Yarrowia lipolytica: one gene and its partners. The protein of the gene in region 4 interacts with the protein of the main gene of each other region in a biochemical or structural test. Links are inferred from orthologs where the notes say so. Each region holds a gene or a part of one and is shown on either strand. Other genes may lie near its edges. The genes, in order: YALI1_F12365g, YALI1_D09831g, YALI1_F30395g and YALI1_F35061g.

Evidence for each region.
Region 1: the proteins of YALI1_F35061g (region 4) and YALI1_F12365g interact in a test that uses a peptide from one of them, tested with the Saccharomyces cerevisiae proteins (2 studies listed by BioGRID). The link is inferred for Yarrowia lipolytica from reciprocal best matches to the Saccharomyces cerevisiae genes BEM1 and BCK1.
Region 2: the proteins of YALI1_F35061g (region 4) and YALI1_D09831g form a complex in vitro, tested with the Saccharomyces cerevisiae proteins (2 studies listed by BioGRID, with this or other methods). The link is inferred for Yarrowia lipolytica from reciprocal best matches to the Saccharomyces cerevisiae genes BEM1 and BOI2.
Region 3: the proteins of YALI1_F35061g (region 4) and YALI1_F30395g form a complex in vitro, tested with the Saccharomyces cerevisiae proteins (2 studies listed by BioGRID). The link is inferred for Yarrowia lipolytica from reciprocal best matches to the Saccharomyces cerevisiae genes BEM1 and RSR1.

What each region holds. Positions count from the first base shown.
Region 1 is NC_090775.1:1,235,903-1,242,913, reverse strand, and holds YALI1_F12365g (uncharacterized protein), read left to right. Parts: upstream 1-1,962; coding exon 1,963-6,215; intron 6,216-6,361; coding exon 6,362-6,500; downstream 6,501-7,011. Other genes in the region: YALI1_F12430g (uncharacterized protein), read left to right, coding at 1-123; YALI1_F12422g (mitochondrial 54S ribosomal protein bL21m), read left to right, coding at 709-1,152. UniProt on the Saccharomyces cerevisiae protein: Serine/threonine protein kinase involved in a signal transduction pathway that plays a role in yeast cell morphogenesis and cell growth. This pathway seems to start by SMP3; then involve the kinase PKC1 that may act on this kinase.
Region 2 is NC_090773.1:981,075-985,992, forward strand, and holds YALI1_D09831g (uncharacterized protein), read left to right. Parts: upstream 1-2,030; coding exon 2,031-4,412; downstream 4,413-4,918. UniProt on the Saccharomyces cerevisiae protein: Protein involved in bud formation. Functions redundantly with BOI1 to promote the fusion of secretory vesicles with the plasma membrane at sites of polarized growth. Acts as an abscission inhibitor during cytokinesis in response to chromatin bridges.
Region 3 is NC_090775.1:3,038,263-3,041,407, reverse strand, and holds YALI1_F30395g (uncharacterized protein), read left to right. Parts: upstream 1-1,863; coding exon 1,864-2,628; downstream 2,629-3,145. UniProt on the Saccharomyces cerevisiae protein: Ras-related protein which binds GDP/GTP and possesses intrinsic GTPase activity. Involved in development of cell polarity during the cell division cycle, and essential for bud emergence.
Region 4 is NC_090775.1:3,503,763-3,508,451, reverse strand, and holds YALI1_F35061g (uncharacterized protein), read left to right. Parts: upstream 1-1,610; coding exon 1,611-1,619; intron 1,620-2,276; coding exon 2,277-4,187; downstream 4,188-4,689. Other genes in the region: YALI1_F35029g (uncharacterized protein), read right to left, coding at 4,601-4,689.

The DNA of each region.
Region 1 (7,011 bases), about 2.3 Mb from region 4:
CGCACAATTTATCTCCGTCGGGGCTCTGATCTCGGGCGCATCGGATTTAGCAATGGCCTGTTTGGGCCTAATTTCGAGTTGAGTCGTAATCCCGCAGTGATGGTATTTTTTTTCTCGCAGTGATGTATTTTTTTCTTTTTTCCCCTCTTTTTTTGAAATAAACAATTTAATTGATAATTGCACTTGGGGTAAAGCAGATGTTAGAGGAGATTCGGGTTTTTATTGGTGGCTCTCACAAAAAAAAAATTCTTTTGAATTTTCGTACCTCCGTCTCCAATTAAATTGACCAATTTGCTGTTGATATCGGCTTAGTAATGTATGTCTTAGTTGGAATATTTAGTTGAATGATTAGTTTACTGAATGCATCATATTTTATGTATTGTGTATAAAAATATATATAATATGTTACAGTATATACAGTATATGTTATAAAAAAATACCCTAAGAAAAGTGAGAAAAAAAAAAGAAGAAAAAAAACATTACATTAACCGTGATTGCGGGTTCGATCCTCGAGCGCTAGATTATATCACATGCTCCGATTCTAATAAAACAAGACAATTCCGCCCCAAATATACGCCGTACATACTCGGTGGTATTTTCGTCTCTTGAATCCCCCCATTCACCGCCCCGCTTACATCATGTACCAATCTTCCAACTGAAACTTTTTCATACATACATCACCACTTCACACAACACCACACAAACACAATGATGTCGCTATTGAGACAGGTGCGGCACATGTCGACCGCCGCCAGCGCGCCCAGCGGGTTCCTCAAGGTGTCTGCCGAGCAGATCAAGCCCCTGCTGCTCGCCAACCAGCACATTTTCGCCAAGGTGCACATGCACAACAACGCCTACCTGGTGACCAAGGGCGACCAGATGCGACTGCCTTACCGGTTCAAGGGCCTCAAGGTGGGCGACGTGATCAACTTTGAGCACGTGAGCCAGATCGGCTCTCGGGATCACGTGTTCCAGGGTGACAAGTACATTTCCCAGGACCACTTCAACATCAAGGGCGTTGTGACTGCTCTCACTGCTGAGCCCATGACCACCCATGTTCACCATCGAATCAAGGACAAGGGTTACACTCGGACCCAGCGAAAGGTGCCCCAGACCATCATTCGAATTAGCGAGCTGGAACTCAAGGCTTAGAAGAGGAAGTTGAAATTACGAGTGGAGCGAGTAATTTGGTTCTTCTGCGTTATGTATATAGGAATGCATTTATTGCGTAAAGGAACGACACCGGGCGACACAGGTGCTACTGTCCAACGAGCACTGGCTATCATGTGCAGTTGTGGGTCGTGATCTACAACTGAGATCAGTATGTGAATGGAAGGCAACAATTGAGGTTGTAGTGAGGTCATTATATAGTGGGGGTATCGATAAAGTGTCTGGAGTTGAAAAGTTGCAGACGAATATCTCCATTTGGTATTTTGCTTGGTACGGTGAATTGATGATTGTAGCCATACTAGGTACCAGTGTGACTATGGAGGATGGGGGATCTAAGAGGGTCTAAGATCTAAGGTCTAGATCTAAGAAGGTCTAAACATGTTAATAGAGGTCTCTACAGATGCTGAGATACACGTGTCTAGTCACCATCTTCAATTACCGGTCAAATACTCCCCAATATCTCTCCCTCACTTCGTCACCAAATCTAAACAAAACAGTTGAGGATTTATTTGACTCGGTTGTCCCAGTTGGGTGCGGCTTTAACGAAGAGAGGACGGATTAATGTGGCTGAACTTGCTCCAAAAGTGACCTTTTTGGAACGGGGAAAAACGGAATTAACTCATAACCAGATTTATGACGCTTTGCACTCTTCACTTTCCCCCATAATCTCCTTCAACCCCCTCAACCTCTCTCGTTCTGACCCCGATAAACTTAAACTCCCTGCAAACACGAGACCACGCACTCCAGCATCTCACCACTACTTGTACAGTACAAGCACCCGTACACGGAACCATGGGCGAGTTCCATATCAACCTGATTCCGACGTACGACGACGCTCATAATCTCACGGACGATCTGCAGTCCGTGTCGTCGTCGCCGTACTCGGTGACCGTGCCCAAAAACCGACTTCGTTCGCGCAGCGACTTGTCTGAGGTCGCAGACCGATCTGTGTCCACTGGAGCTCTGGAGCGACTGGTTCCGAACCCAAACAAGATCCGCGTCGACCGACGTGTCGTGAGTGATACCAATGGTGACTCGAATGCCAACTCGGGTCCCAGTCTCACGCACCATCTTTCCCATGCCAATCTTAACACTTACAACAACAACAGCAGTACCAACAACTTGCAGACTCCGCAGAAGCTCAAGTCGTCTGTTTCCTACTCTTCGCTACATCGCACACCCAACAACAACAACTTTGACACCTCGTTCCAGTCTCTGCAGTCCGAACAGTCGTTCCATACCGCGCCGTCTCCAGACGGAGTGCTGTCGTCAAGTCCTAACGAGACCAGACTCAAATTCCAGAAAAGCAGAGACATTTTACGCCAGGGAGCCCCGTCTCCCCTCAATCTCACGCCGGGGAATAGATCTGTGAACGCCACGTCGCCTCATCCTCCGACACCTTCGGCATACTTGTTTGAAAACGACTCCAGCCATAAGAACCAGGAACAGCCGAGTAAACAGAGCCCGATCCAGTACTCGTCGCCGCATCCCATTGGAAACGCCATCTCTTGGAAGGCAGACGAGCCCAATAATTGGACGCTGGACCGTGTGCTCATGTTTCTGGACTTGTATCAGTTTGGCCCCGACTGGGCCCAGACCTTCACAGAACGCAACATCGTGGAAGGGCGGTTCTTGGAGCTCGTGAGCTACCAGAAACTCAAGGCTCTGGGCCACCTTAGTCTGAACAATGGAGAGGTGGACACTTCTCCCTCGAGATTCATTCATATCCTGCGGAAGACGCTTAACAGAGGTACATCCAGTGGCACTATTGACGTTGACGCGTTGAACTCCTCTCAGAGCAGTGATGGTACTACAGGGAGACATGCGGCAACAAGCAGCCCACAAGCGTTTACTTCTCCTCAAATGGGCTCTCCTGTGATCTCTCAAAACTCTCCCGTTCCACATCACTCCCCGGCTCCCTCTGAGCCCCCTCCCCCTCCTCCGCCTCCAACGAATTCTGCTTCCTCCCCCGCCCCGCATCGAAATTCAGCTCCCCCTCCCCCAACTTCTACACCTTCAGCTGTTCAGGCCAAAGCTCACATTCCAAACAGCCCCTCAACTTCGTCTCTGACATCTCCGCTAGTGCCTACCACTTCAGCTCCAGCTGACAAAATCACCCCTCGACCGCTCAAGACAAATCGTCCTCAGCGACCAATGACAGCGTATGAGGGTCTCTACCGCACCATGAAGTCACCCGTATCTCCGTCCGGAAACTTCTTCAGACGTACTCACCATAAGTCGTCGTCGTCTGAGTCTTCCATTTTGGGGGAAGATGGTCTACCAAAGGAGGAAGAGAGAAAGAGTCGAAACCTGTTTTCGAGACTCCGGCGAAGGGACAGATCGTCTTCAAAGAACAGAAACTCGACAATCCCCCCTTCTCCTGTGGATCACGATGGAGCTGCTTCTCTGTACTCCAACGAGTCCAAGGATAAAACGTCCTCACCTACATTGACATCTTCATCTGGGTGGGCACCTCCTAAACCGCCCAAAGTGCCGATTCCTAACCCCACATACAACCCTCCCCCGCTTCCTCCTCGGTCGGGGTCTCAGCAGACTCCTACCTCTGCTTCTACCCACCATTCCTCGCTGTCTGGCTTCTCGGTCAACTCTCAGCCGGCACCCAGTACTCCTCTGGACCGGTACTTTACAATCACCCAGAACGACAGAATGATTCTGGTCACTCTGGACAACGTGCATTTTGTGGCCGCGGACTTGAAGAATGTGCTTTCGGTTCCTCAAGCTACAGATGTCATTGCGAAGGCTTTGGGCCTCAATACTCATGATCTGCGGTTCAGACTCACCGATGTGGGTAGTGAAGCTAGTGAGAAACTCGACGAGGAAGCCCTCAGCTACTTCTTTTCTGACAACAAAGTCATGTTATCGAATTACAAGCTGTTGGTCGAGTCGGCGTCTCCCTCAGCCACTCTAGCACCCGCAGTGGCTGCACAGACGTCTTCCTCAGTTACTTCTTCCCCTGGAAAGTCGATTTACTCCCTTGAAACCCCCTCAGGGGGCACAAAGTACCCTGCCACGCCTTCCTACCTCTACACGAAGACGCAAGAGCCTCCTGGGGACTACTTTTCCAGCCAACCACCCTCCAAACCGACCCGGCAGCCTTCCCAATCATCTATTCAAACTGCTTCTGACGACCAGGATTCGTTCAAGGTAATTCGTCCTCCTCCCAAGAAGGAGATCAACTTTGACAACCGACGCTCATCTCCCTACGATACCTTGTCTCGAAACACGTCTTTTGTCGCACGTCGAGAAGCCCCCCGACGTCCCGAGTCATCTTCTTCTGTGCGAGTAAGATCCACGGCTGTCAACTCGTACACACCGGGTGAGTCTGAAAAGTTCATTCCTAGACCGTATCATGGAGGCAGTAACCGGCTAGTGATGCGCAAACCTGTCAGTGCAGCCTCTTCACCTGTTGATCAGCAGTCCAACGACCCTACTGCAGCTACAACTGCGGTTTCTGCTGCCCCTCAACCGTCTCGTCTTAACCCCAAGTTGTCTGGCAACTTCACTTTTGGCCGATCGGGACTCAAATTCAAGGTGCCCAACTACCAGGACAAGCTGCAGCGAAGGTCCACATCCTCCTCCGTGCGAGTTGCGCCCGAGCAAAACTTCCAAGAGAACGATATCTCGTTTGACGACATTCAGTTTGACGACGATGATGATGAGTCAGATGATGGGCTGTGGTCCAAGAAGCTGACCAAGCCGACGGAGGCGGTCTCTTCGACGGTCTCATCCACGCGCTCCTCCACTTCTTCGTCTTCAGACGTCTGGGCCGTCCGTCCTCCTGCTGAGGTTGTTTACGACAACCTGGAGCGGTTCTTCCCCAACGCCGATCTCGATAAACCGATCATTGACGATGTGGAGTCACCGCCCACGTCGCCTGACAAGCGCGAGACGCTCGACTACGTGAAACCCCGTTCCATGATCATTGACCAGAGTCAGAACGACCGAAAGGCCACTATCACACCTCTCACCTCCAAGATCAAGGAGGAGGGCACGCTGGAGAAGGAGGAGAAGACTCCCGCGGCAAAATTCTCGCGAAAAACGGGCACCTCCCGTATCAAATCGATCCGAGTGGTTGCCAGGGAGGCATCCGAGGCCCGGAAACGGTTCTCCACGTCATCCACCAAGTCCACAATGACGAATCCGGCTTTGCTGCGACGGCGATCGACGAAAATGTGGGGCCAGAAGGTGGTGGAAGCTACGCCCAACCAGATCAAGAAGGGCCACATTTCTACTGTGCGCGACCAGCGGGGCCATCTCAAGAAGTTTGTATGGGTCAAGGGTGAGCTGATTGGCGTGGGTACCTTTGGTAAGGTTTATCTGGCTCTTAATGCCACCACTGGAGACATGATGGCAGTCAAGCAGGTTGAGGTGCGCAACAAGGCTGCTGCTGAGGTCGGTGTGGGTGCCCTACATGCCGAAGTCGGTACTATGAAGAACCTGGACCATTTCAACATTGTGCAGTATCTAGGCTTTGAAACCATGCAGGACCACACTTACAACCTGTTTCTGGAGTACGTGCCTGGAGGCAGTGTGGGTTCTTGTTTGCGCAACCATGGTCGGTTTGAAGAGAACATTGTGCGATTCCTTACGCGGCAGATTCTTGAGGGTCTAGCGTATCTGCATGGCTGTGGCATTCTTCACCGAGATCTCAAGAGTGACAATCTGTTGCTCGACCTGGACGGAGTGTGCAAGATTTCGGACTTTGGCATCTCGAAGAAGTCTCGGGACATCTACTCCAACGACGCCGAAATGTCCATGCAGGGCACGATTTTCTGGATGGCTCCCGAGGTGATTCACAATGTCATCCACAATGAGAAGCAGGGCTATTCCGCCAAGGTTGACATTTGGTCTCTTGGATGTGTTGTGCTGGAGATGTTTGCCGGACGACGACCGTGGAGCAACGATGAGGCTATTGGAGCCATGTACAAACTTGGAAATAGCCGGTTGGCTCCTCCTATTCCGGAGGATACCAAGACGTTTGTGTCGGAAGATGCAAAGGACTTTTTGGACAAGTGTTTTATTATGTGAGTAACGAGAATCGTGAGCGATGGGAGCGATTCGAGACGAGACGAGCTAACGTGAAGCGTTGGTTATGTTAATAATGGTGGGGTTTTTGTTTTGCAGAGGAAGTCCCTCTTGCTTTTTCACACCCTGGTAGATACTAACCCAGTGATCCGGAACAACGACCGACAGCTCAACAACTATTGGACCATCCCTTTTGCACGCTGAGCCAAGACTTCAACTTCTTGGACACGTCGCTCGCCAAGGTGATTCGGTTCAACGACAAACGACCGATTCAGGAGTCGTGATTATTTATTAATGATACCACGTAATGATTGACTGGGGTGGCTGTTCCAGCAACTGTAGATGAAGGGGCAGACCAGACGTGGAGATGTAGATGGTGGACAGTGAGTAGTCTGTGAACGATTGTGTGCTTGTCTGGACGTTGAATCGTTCGAACTGACAATACGAGCCCCGAAAGCAATTCCATATGGTCGACATCATGTGTATGAGTAGATGCCATCGTCTTGATATAGTGGTGAGTCCAATGTGGGCTACAACTTGAGCGGATGTGGAGCGGTAAACAGGTCTGCTAACGAGGTCCAGGACTCCATCAATGGCTCTACAACGATCCTGATGGGTCTTCAAGTGAGTTTTTGTACTGCCTCTTTAGGCACAGTTTTGTTTAAGTCTTTACTTGACAATTAGTTAAATAAAAGTTGTGCTGGGGATCCGGATTTGATGATTAAAAAGAGATGGGGAAATGAGAAGTTTTTCAGATGATAGGTAGGACCCCATTTAATGACTAATATGTCCGAA
Region 2 (4,918 bases), on a different chromosome or scaffold from region 4:
AAGGGCTGCTGACGATCATAGACCATTGTTTAATGTTGTAGAGAAGGACACATATGACAGGCCTCACAGTTTGAGTGTACTTGTACATACTGTACTGATTATGTAGACGACTTCACACGGAGACCTCTCGGAAATACTGCGTCCATATAATGGTGCTTCCCATTATGGCTATTCCCGTTGCATTCTCGTAGGGCTTCGCACTCCGAACTATGACGATCTCTTCATCCCGTGCATTTGGAGCGAGGCAACACGCGATCGCTGCGCAAGAACCCTGGTCGGTGATCTGCAAAAGGGATGGAATTTGCCAACTTTTGGGCCAATGTATGTCACCAGTACATACCATGTCCACAGTTACACTTTCAATCACGTGTCAGTCTCGTGATCAAAGCAGGTAGGCACTTTCACGTGACCCAGCCACTCACTCAACCAGTGCATAACCTGTCCTCCTTCTGCTCCAGCCGCACTCCATGGCGCGGAGCAAGGTTTCCACTTGAAGGGCGGAAAGAAAGAAAGAAAAAAAAGAAAGGTGCTGTACATGCAGTGTCACCGCGCTCGTATATCGTACAAAAGCAAGTCAAGTGTGGTGAAGACGGAGACCAAATGGCTGGTATTGGTGGTCTGAGGCACGCTGCTTAGTAACCAACTTTTACCTGTTCCAATAGCAGCTCGGAGACACTCTGCAAGCCGCACTTGGACATCACAGTGTCGTCGTACACGCCGTCAGTCCAGTCAGCACCTAAATTTTCTGCCCCTCCTAATATGCAGACCAATGTAATTTCCTCCTCAACGGTGTATTAATTATTGGCTATACGGAGTAATAGGTGCGGGTGACAGGACTCAAGAGGTGGACATCGAGTATAAGTAGCCCTGTTTACCCCGTACTTTCCAAAGCCCAGGGCAGACTACAGTTCGTACACTGGTACAATAGCTAGCCGCTTGTGCTGGTACTCACGCATTCCTCTACGCACGGCTAGCATGCAGATTTGCAACTAGGACGACGCTGTAGAATGCCACTAGTGCGGCCACGGAGTCACAGGACGAGATTGTGAGATAACCGAGGTCCAAGTGTCGCACCATTACCCCACCTACAGGCAAAACCCATACTACTGTAGATGACTCGTGCTAGCGCCAGTGCGGTCGTACAGCACAGTGTTCACTAACTGGACAGCGCTCTCCGGCCTCCCAAACAAGGCGTCAGGGGAAAGGTACATATGTAGGGTGCAGTGGTGCAATAGGATGTTGACAACGCCCACATTTTGAGACGTCTACAAGTAGAACCCAAAGGGATGTAAAAGTGGACTATTGAGTCAGGTGACGGCTGGGCGGGGCAGTCGCGGAGCTGGTTTGACAGCCCCTGAGCGTCGTGCTGGCCACATCACATCATAAGCCATTGTACGATACCAGGGTGATTTGTACAGTCTTACTTGTTACTTGTATTACTTGTATTGTACTCAGACAAGCTCACCGCTGCTTTTGTTATATAACGTGCGAGTCTAAGAGTCTAAGTGCACCTAAAGAGCAGCCCTTACCCTGACAACAGGGGTTGAGCGTGGCGATGATGGGGTGTTTGTGGGTGAATTTGGGGGTTTCAAAGGTCGATATTAGTCAGAAGGTTGGTTTTGGTTGTAGTTGTGGGGTTTCCCCTCCAAAATCTCGCCCAAAACACCCCCTTGAACCCCCTCATTTCTGCCTTCTTGTTGTCTCCTGTTGCATATTGCAGTCCCAAGCTGCAGAGGTGAAGCAAAGGCGGTCCCAAAGTTTGTGTGTTTCAAGTCCACCCAAGTGCACTATTGTCAGGAAGGCAAAGTGGAATTTTAAAATTCCCCACGATCACCACTTTACACAGATAGGAGCACGGATAGGTGCTACGAGACACGCCGCAGAGACACGATACAAACCAAAATTGATCAAGTGAGCGCACGAGCACGACACAGACAGTTCATTACACAGACACACGATACCACCACCAACAGCCACACAAGACACCTCCCAGTTTCCACCACACTCATTCCAACCAACACTCCACCACAATGTCGGTCAATCCCGCACCCACGCCCTCGCACGAGGTCAAGACGGTGCTGATCGCCATCCACGATTTCAACAACCGGTCGGAGGACGAGCTGACGTTTGTGTCCGGCGAGCAAATCCAGGTGATTGAAAACGACTTTGAATTCAAAGACGGTTGGTACATTGGCAAGCGGCTCATCACGGGCGCCACGGGCCTGTTTCCACGCGTCTTTGCGTCCACCGTGGACGAGCTCATGGACGCGGACGTCCAGCCGGGCCAGCAGCTTCCTTCTTCGGGCCCCACAACTCCCGCAGGCTCGAATCCAAGCTCACGGGTCGTTTCGCAATCACAGCAATCGCCATCGGTCACAAAGACGCTCACAGACATCGATGAGGTGCTTTCGGAGCTCAACAACCACACAAGCCAGCTGTCGGTGACCAAGAAGGCGTCGGCCAACGGAGGCGAGCTGGACCCAGCACGCGTCATGTCGTGGACGCCGATACAGGTGGCAAGATGGTTCGAGAACCGGGGCTTTGAGCCGGCCATCCCCAAGCTCTTTGTCGAACACAAGATATCAGGTGCCATCCTCACCGAGCTCGAGCTGCAACATCTCAAGGAGCTGGACATCACGTCGTTCGGCACGCGGTTCGAGGTGTACAAGGAGATTGAGAAGCTGCGGGGCGATCCCATGTCGCCGCGGCCAACCAGTGGCAGTACCAACCGACGCTCCTCCACCGCATACGTGTCGCCTAAGAAGGGTCATATGCGGAAACGGTCCCAGTCTCTGGACAATCTTGATTCTCCTAGACTGAATAGCGAGTTTCCAATTTCGTCGCCTTCCACCGCTACACCCAGCACGGAGTTTGCTATCCCCCAAGGAGGCACTATTGACGACTTTGGTTTTGAAGAGGGACAGCCCCAGCAACCACCATCACAGCGACTGTCTCAGTCACAACGACAATCACAGTCTGAGCCCCAGACACAGAGGAGTTCGGTACACGACCCTCGCCTGTCTGCATCGCAGCAACAGCAATCTCGAGGACGGTCATCAGCCAACGTGTCTAACAACAGCTCACGTCAATCAGTTACAGAGCCTCCCAAACACGATCTTCCCGAGTTGCCGCGCAAGACGCAGCAGCCACCAGAGGGGGCTGTCGATTCACGCAAATCTAAGGAATCCGTTCGGGATTTCCCCCGCAAGTCTCGTGAGTCGCAACGTCCTCCCCTCCAGCACGCCCACTCGTCGCACTCGACGCCACATTCGGTCATGGACTCGCCCCAGCTGCACCGCCACCCCTCGGCGGGGCATTCTCTCTCATCTGAGAACGCCACTCATTTGGACTCGGACTCGCTGTCGTCATCCCCAGAGCCGAAATCGAGATCGTCGCGACGATCTTCTCTTCTTGACGCGGTCATGAACGCCCCCTTGAGTCCTTCCAAGCGTTCTGGGCGAGAAGTAGGCTCCTCAGATCCCGATCTCACTCTGTCGCCCATCCAGCACCAGAAAGAGCAGCGTCCAGAGGCCATGCCCACTCCTCCCACACCCAAGAGAACCGGCAGCGGTCCCTTCAGAACGCTCCGAAAGACTCCCTCGGCCTCCAACATGCGGTCCAAGAGTCTCAGCTCGAAGCAGAAGACGTCGGCCTTCCGAGAAGGTATCAAGCACGTGAATCCCCGCGAGGCTGCCAAGAAGGCCGACTTTTCGGGCTGGATGTCCAAGAAGGGTTCTCAGAGCGTGGGCACGTGGAAGCAACGGTTCTTCTGTCTCACAGGCACCCGGCTGTCGTACTTTGCATCTCTTAACGACACCTACGAGCGAGGACTAATTGACCTGACGGCCCACAAGGTGGTTCCTGCACGTGACAATGAAGACAAGCTGGTGGCTTTGTATGCATCGGGCACAGGAGCAGGTAGATACTGCTTCAAGCTGTTGCCGCCGGCTCCTGGGTCCAAAAAGGGACTCATGTTCACTGTCCCCAAGGTGCACTACTTTGCGGTGGACACCGCGGAAGAGATGAAGGGATGGATGAATGCATTTCTCAAGGCCACCATTGACCGAGATGATACAGTTCCTATTGTGTCGTCGTGTGTGACTCCTACTGTGACACTGAATCGGGCCCAGGAGATGCTGCAGGAGTCACACAAGAACATGGCGTTGTTGCAGAGCCAGCTGGATGCCAACGGAGGAGACATCGAGGCTGCTGAACAGGCTATTGGCATCAAGACTCCTCCCATGTACAGTGACGAGTTTACGGTTCCCAATGGTGGAGTGACGCGTAAGAAGTCGATGGTCATTTCCCCCACCTCACCGGCGTCCTCTTCCATGCAGTCGCCGAAGAGTTATCAGACTGCGAGTCCGCAGGTTCCAGATATGCCCAGTATTGAGGGCAGTTTACAGGACTAACATTATAATGCTAATTGGAGTTTGGAGTTTGAGAACGCGAGATCAAGGAACTTTCTCCGAGAGCTTGCACACATTTTTCCTCGTACACAGCATGTAGAGAGCTTTTGGACCCAGAGTTATGGAGGGTGTTACTGTAGATTACCCCCACGTAGTGCAGATTACTATTACCACGCTGCAAACAACTCATGAGCTTGTGTCTCTATAAGAAGTGGGAGATCGATACTCTACGAGGGGGCTTGTCTAGTACATTCGTACTCACACTACAGTATGTACATACAAGTATCACTATCGTGTATGGGCAGAGCAGAGACATACAAATCACACTTGGGTGTAGATGACATGAGTTGCAGTATGTACACACGCTTCTAGAGAACTGATGGCTTGATCCACAAGTTTTTCTTCCGGGATGCTGTTGATATGCGGTTGAGGTATACGGCATTTGGCATTGAGAATGTACGATAGCTAGCTAATATCAGATGGTAAAGTCAACTCTCCGACTCGTAATA
Region 3 (3,145 bases), about 470 kb from region 4:
ATAAATATTGTACTCGTAGTGTAGTTAGACGACCCAAGGAGTCTGTCATCGGTCCTTGGTTGATGTTTAGGCACTCCTTGCATGACACGATGGAAAACTTTGCACCTTGTGTGTGTGGTTGAACAATCGGAGAGAAAAAAAAGTATGAAGGAGTGCATCCAAGGGGTGAGCTAAGCTAACAATAGTGGCTCTCTGGCATAATGAGTAGAGGTGTCGCGTGGCTGGTTTGACAGAAAGAAAAAAAAGGGGGGCAAAAAAAAAGAACCAGGGTGTCTTTTGTTTCATGTGGACAGCGGCTTATTCCTTTTCTCGTGGCTGTATAAATGCACGGGCTCGATATTTTTCGCCCGTTGTTTTGCACATTTTCTGCCAGATGTATGTTTATACCCGTCTGTGCTGTTTTGATTTTCCCCAGATGAAGATCTCTGGCTCTGAGGGTGGGCACTGTATCAACCCTTTAGGTTCGACTGGTGCACACCAAACACACAGTTGGCAGAGCTACAAGTAGGGCAGCGTTCAGAGCAAGCTACTCGTACTGTAGCATGTGTACAAGTGCCAGGGGAGAGAAGGGAGACGTCTGGGGTCCATCTGACGATCTCCTGAGCGATTCTAAGACTTGAGAGCCCTGGTTCGCGCCCTGCCGTCCCCAAATTCCTCACTATCCACTTCCGTCATCTCGGGAGTGACGGAATGCAGTCTTGGGGGTTTTTAGGTTGTCAAGCGCTCCTAACAACACAGTGTCTATGTGTGGTTAGGACGAAGCCAGCAAGACAGGAGAAGAAGGGGAATGCAAGGAGCGCACCACTGCCAGTGGACGTTACATTCTTAGCGAGTGGGAGACGTGAGGCTGTCGGTTCAGACCGCAGAATGAAACAACTCGCCTTGTACAAGTATCGAACTCGCTACTGGCAGAGTGTCTCGCACCGCGCTTGTATGTGGTGGTGTGGTCTTGGGTTGCCCTGATTTTCATGATTGTCAACAGTGTTTTGACAATTGAGTTTCCAGCGGGGTCTACTTGTATCGGGCTGAATAATCATCTACACGCGCGCAACTATAGCTGTTATGCTAGACACGAGGCTGGTACAGCGCTCGGTTTGTTTATGTCCCGTGTCCACAATATTGCACAGCTTCTATGCCACTTGTACCCCTTATGTGGCTATACTAGTACAGCACGTGCCCCGAGCCTAAAGAGGTCGCGTTTCGCGTCTTGACACAAAAGTACATATGGCACTTTTCGGCGGAATATTTGTGTCAGAGCGAAATAATAAACGGGTCTATTTTTGGTTCTTCGCCAAGTGGGCCCAGTGAGGTATAGCAGCCAGGCAGGGCATATACGGCTTGAATAACGAGACAAGTAGGGGGCCAAATGAAAGGGCTTAAGGGCCACTTGCCATCAGCCGGACTACTGTACCGAGCAACGTCTGCGGAATGCGTCGTATACGCCTTAAAGCAGAGGGCGCAAAACGCCTAAAGACAACCCACAACTGTCTCACCCGCCTGTTTGAAAGAGGACATAAAAACAAAACAAAAAGCACAGAGACAACAAACAGAGTTTTGGGACTATGCTTTAGTGTTGGTGTATATGAGTTGGAATGAGTGGCGGGCAGCGTCTGATATTTGAGATTCCTGTAGGACGAGAAACAAATAAAAGATGGGAAAAAGTAGCCATAATGAAGTCAAGCATTTTTATGTAATTTTTCCACCCCTATCCCTATCACAACGATGTTCATGGACATCCGCCCAGAACTTGATGACAAACCCAAATTTCACACGTGAACTTAATGTCTAACAAGCGTAGCTACCAAAACATGACTTATACCTGAGCCCTCCTACGCTTCTCACCACCACAAAAAAATACACAGCATGAGAGACTACAAAATCGTCGTTCTGGGCGCCGGTGGCGTCGGAAAGTCTGCCATTACCGTCCAGTACGTGCAGGACATTTTCATCGAGTCCTACGACCCTACCATTGAGGATTCCTACTGCAAAAAGGTGAATCTGGATGGCCGGCACTGCACCATGGAGATTCTCGACACCGCTGGAGTCGAGCAATTCACCGCCATGCGAGAGCTGTACATCCGAAACGGTGAGGGCTTCGTTCTGGTCTACTCAGTCAACTCGGAGTCGTCTTTGCGAGAGCTGCAGGAGCTGCGACAACAGGTGTGTCGGATCAAGGACAACAACAACGTGCCCATGGTGCTGGTGGGCAACAAGTGCGATCTGGAAAACGAGCGACAGGTGCAGCCTCGGGACGGAGTGGCGCTGGCCAACCAATGGGGCAAGGTTCCCTTCTACGAGACGTCGGCCAAGTTCAAGACCAACATTGACCAGGTGTTCCAGGACCTTCTGCGACAGATCATTCGTCGAGACTCGTCGTTTGGCGGCTCAACCGTTTCCTTGGCTGGTACAAGCGGAATGGGCGTGAGCAGCCCTACCCACAGCCCCACGTCCTCTACTGGAGCAGACTATCTGAACATGCCTTACGACGATAGAGCGTCGAAGCACGTGAGTGTCAAGAGTACGAGTTCGGCAGCGTCTATCCGAAACATCTCGACGAGTTTCAAAGGGCATCAGAGGAAGAATTCGGAGGTGAAGAAGAAGAAGAAGAAGGGGTGTGTTATCATGTAAGTTGCACAGTCTAGCTACTTGTTCACAATCAGTTGTGCGGCCTATCAGCCACACATACCTATTTAAGAGTTGATCTCACTGCATGGAGTAGCACAATACTCCCACGTTCGTTAATATATGCATTTTTTTTCTGCCAATATCCTCGCATACTACTTGTACGAGTACGGGTACCCTTGTAGTCTCGTCCTTTTCAACATCTGGCACCTTAATATCTTGTTGTGTTGTGATTTCTAATGAGTATCTTCCAAAATCGTACACATACTTCCACATTCCAGGTGAATGAATCAGCCTTTCCATGGTGAGACAAGTGGGAGGTTGTCACTCTGAACTCATTCGGACTCTCATTCTCTTTAATTGAGCTAAACCCTGGTAAACCAATAATGTCTCTCCTCGCCTATTGCTATGGAGACGGACTGGACGCTCCTTGATACATGGTGCAGTTGTACATGCGAGAAGGAGATGTCGTGTTCTCGTGCGCTGTAGCCCAGATATTAGAATATTTAGTGGGGTGATTGAG
Region 4 (4,689 bases):
TACATCAGCCGGTACGTTTTGAATCGAAGGGGGCCAAGGTGCTCCAATCAAGTGAAGGTTCTGTTATCGAAAGAATTGTCCGAAGCGCCAGCACAGGGCACACGACACGCCCCAGTCTCGTATAATCTAAGAAAGTGCTGTATAGGTAGAAGGTGGTAACTTGGCAAGGCTTAGGCTGGTTGCAAAGCCTTGACTGTTATTTTTAGGTCTGCGAGTCTCGTGCTTTTAACGGTACAGTACTTACAGTACATACTGCGGAAGCAATCCTCACTGGCGGCTCGTCCGGTGTTCCAGATCTCTCTCCGCACCAGCCGAGACAACCATGTGTATCACAGTATCTTCCTCTGCAAGAATTTCTTTTTCTCTCCTGGACAATTCAGTCGTGTTACAGATCTGTATTTGTATGGTATGTACTGCCCCCCACGCTAATGTTCGTCAAAACTGCCCTAATCAACGGCTACCAACAAAGAGTTTTTCATGGCAGCCACTTGGCTTATGAAGCTCCCGAGATAATGCGAATGTCTGTGTGGGTTTGTAAACGTGGGTGTTACTCAGACGGCCTGGATCCCTGTCTCCCACTCTACGCAGCAGCGTTTCACCATTGTTTCACAACAGAGTTGCGCGGAGGAGTGGACATTTTCTGTCAAATAAGAATATTAAGGAAGGAAAAAGTCTTCAGAACAGCGTTATTGACGCTAAAGCCTACGGGGCTAAAAATAGGCCACCAAGGACAGGACAATTGAGTACAACGAAAAAGGGCTTCCTGACCAAGAGTGTTGGATGGGTAAATAGCTTCATTTCGGGGTCATTCAGCAAGTAAAAGTACGTTACATGGCAATATGGCGACACTTTTTGGCAGCATCTTCAATCTCTTTTTGAACAAACATTCAACCTCTTTCGGCACAGTGCATTTACATAACCTAAACGCCCAAAATGGATCCAATATTGATCCAGCCCGAAAGTGCCAGTCGATGCGAGGGGTGTAGACACAACCGCGGTGGCGATCATCCAGCATGTTCGCTTCAGCCGGGCGTAAGTAGCTCCGCTAAATGGAATCATGACTTTGTATGACAAGAAAACAACCACCAGCAGATTCGAGGGACTCCACTCCTCATTTACCCCTTCCTAGAGATATTTCTGGAGAAAGCCAAATCCGGGCTTGGCACGGCTGAGTCGTCGTCTGCATGCACCGTTCCACACTCATTTAAACACACAGATATCTTTGCAGCACCACCGCATGACAGATTATGACACCACGGACATGAAAGTAGGGTAAGCTCCAACTTCCAGTGGGTGTGGTTAAGATCAAATGAGGCCAACATGTTGCCCATGGGGCAGTGTGGTTATATAAAGGGGGTATTAGAAGAATGAGAGAGAGAGGAAAGCGGGGGTCTGAAAATATCGAGGCCAAGTTTGTTTTCAAAAATAAATAAACCAGGCAAGCCCCATTTACACACCCTCCATCACTTTTGGGCTTTCCTGAAATTCACACAAGTTATACTCACTACCTTCCTCCCACTTGCACCCCACTAATCATCCCTGTGGTGCTAAGGTTTCAAAGGCAAAGTGCAAACACAGTTTCAGTATCCGTCGTCCCTACCGTTTGAGAAATGATCAAGGTGAGTATTAACGGCTGTTTGGAGGCCGTATGCGGACTGCTGAGGGTGTGTGATGGGTCCACGAAGCTCGCTGGACACCCAGCATGTCTCCAGATGTCGTTACACCCCTAGGAAGGTGCTGTGGCGTGAGTGGAGACCCCATGCTGTCACAGAGGAAACATGAACGGAAATGGAGAAAGAGCAATGGTGGACATGGGAACAGTCAGAACTGGAGATTACGTTGGTATTAAATGTTCTGCATCGCTGTTTTCATCGTTTCTGTGTGGCTTTGGGGTAGCTTTGGGGCTGTCACAGTGTGATTGCCATGTCCATGATAAGCAACTAAACCGGGCGCTAGTCAGGGGCATGGACCGTGTATTCAGCGGACCCATATTCAGTGTTGACTACGCAATCATTGACCAGATAGAAGCTCCAAGCTCGTTTTGTTTCTGTTTCCAGGCCTGGGGCATACGAGCAGAAACACCCTTCCAACCGGAGCTACCCCATCGATATACCCATCACTTCACCAATCCCTCCTAAAGGCTGTTTTATGACTCTTTACATCCTTGTCACCACAGACTTGGTGTTGTTATGGGCTTGTTTTTTACGTCATGACACAAGAAGCCGGCTGCTGTTAGCTCCTGACGCACGGCCCCTCGGTTCCGTATACTAACTCAGGGAATCCGCCGCTCTCTCAAAGGCGAGAAGACCACGTCGTCTGGCTCGGCCAACTCGCTGGTCAGCGACAAAAACCCGCTCCACACGAACCCCCCGAAAATGGTGATTCGAGCACTTTACGACTACGAGCCACAAGGACCCGGCGAGCTCTCATTTTGCAAGGGCGACTTTTTCCACGTGATTTCCAACGAACAGGACTCGGAGTGGTTTGAGGCTTTCAACCCGCTGCGCAACGTGCGAGGCATGGTGCCCGTGCCTTACTTTGAGGTTCTCGGCAAGAAGGAGGGTATCACCTCGCCCGACCCAAATGAGGCTCTTCTCCCCGAAGAACGAAAGGCGCTGCACAGATCGAGTCAGAGCAAGCATGCTCAGCACTCACCTCAACATGTTCTGGCCAATGGGCTAGACGTTTCACAGTCCATGCAGAACCTCAGTTTAGGGGGCGCATCTGGCTCCGGAGGCCACACCAGAGAACCCTCCATGGCGGGCGCATCCGACCGATCGTCGCAGGGCAAGAGCACCCCCACTCTGCACGGCGTGGTGCTCTACGACTTCCAAGCCGAGCGGCCCGACGAGCTGCAAGCATCCAAGGGCGATAACATCATCATTCAGGCCCAATCCAATCACGAGTGGTTTGTTGCCAAGCCCGTTGGCCGACTGGGAGGCCCCGGTCTGATCCCTGCCTCGTTTATCGAGATCAGAGACATAGTGACAGGAAAGGCGGTTGTCGACGTGGAGTCTGCCTTACGGGCTTCTGGCTTGCCCAAGGTGGAAGAGTGGAAAAGGATGGCAGCAGACTACAAGGCGTCCAGCATTGCTCTTGGCAATTTTGACGACCCCCAGCAACACTCGCAGCAGCAGGCTCTGCAGCATGCTCTGCGTGGACAGCAGACTCTGCAGGAACACCAGGTTCAACAGGAACACCAGACTCTGCAAGAAAGACAATCTCTGCAGGAACAGCAGGCTCTCCGGGAACAGCAGGCTCTCCGGGAAAATTACGCTGCCCCTGCCACTGGACCTCTCGTTGTAGCGGCGTCCGTCGAGTCGTTTGCATTACACTCGGGTCGATACTGGTACCTCGTCAACGCAGAGCTGGAGGACGGCTCCATGCGGCGATTGTGCCGATACTACCAGGACTTCTACGTATTCCAAATCAACCTGCTGGGGGTGTTCGAAGAGGCTGCTGGTCACAATGATCAGCCTCGTCTGCTTCCTTTCATGCCCGGGCCTCTTACCTACGTTAACGACTCCATCTCCATGCAGCGACGTCACAACCTTGACGAGTACGTCCGCAAGCTCATGGCTCTTCCCGCTTATATTTCACGGTCTGTGATCATGCAGGAGCTGTTTGCTCTCCGCCCTGGTGATGTGGCGGCCGCCGGTCCCACCGACGACCTTCCACAGCCTCTGACGCCGGAGACCGAGTCGTTTGACGCCGCTCAGGCCGAGGCGCGGGCAAAGGGCATTCATCCCAAATCTCTGGGGCCGACTAATGTGTCTTCCAGCAGCGTAAGCTATTCGGAAGGCACCGAGGAGTCTCGGCCTGTGAGCACTGCATCGGGTCTCATGGGTCCTCCTGAACCCACCGGACTCCCCGGCGGCGGACACCAGCGAATGACCTCTGTGTCCACGGTGGGTCCCACGCCCGATAACCCCGCCGTCAATACGCCGCAGTCGTCATCTAACTCGGTCAAGGTGAAGGTTTTCTATCAGGACGATCTGATTGCGATTCGAGTACCCTCGGACATCGATTACGCTACTCTACACGACCGGTTGTGTGAGCGATTACGGGTCGAGACGCTGAGTCTACTGTACAAGGCAGATGACGGTAGCCGGGTGGTTATCAGCAACGATGAGGATCTGGGCGCTGCAGTGTACGGAAAGAACAAGCTAGTTTTGTACGCTAGTTAAGAGTGGCCTTTGGGAGTGCTGGAGTCAAATTTCGCGTTTCTGGCTGTTCAAAGCGGGCTTCAAACTGTCTGTTTGGTACTATCTGTATAAACTGCGGTTCGAACTATTATAGATCGCTCTTTATGCATTGAGCGTCGCGCGTCTTGCACCCAACCCGTTTGAAAACTTGAACCACCACCAGGAGGTGCGTCCGAAGACGATGTGGGCATTGTGTATTTTAGGTGTAGCATATATTTTTAAGGCTGTGTTATGATTTGAGGGATCGGGGGACCGTACGGGTAGCTATATGTCTTACACTGGCTCGCTTACAGGGTCGTGTCACTTGGTGTTATACATGTATACCATCTGATAGGTATACAGTCTATGTTATTACAGTATGTACAGTTAGTAGACGCCCACTTCAGAAGAGCCGATTAATGCAACGAGTTTCTCCTGGTTCCATCCATGGGGGCATCGTCGTCCATCATATAGTCCGGATCGGTCTGTCCCACCACGGTATCTG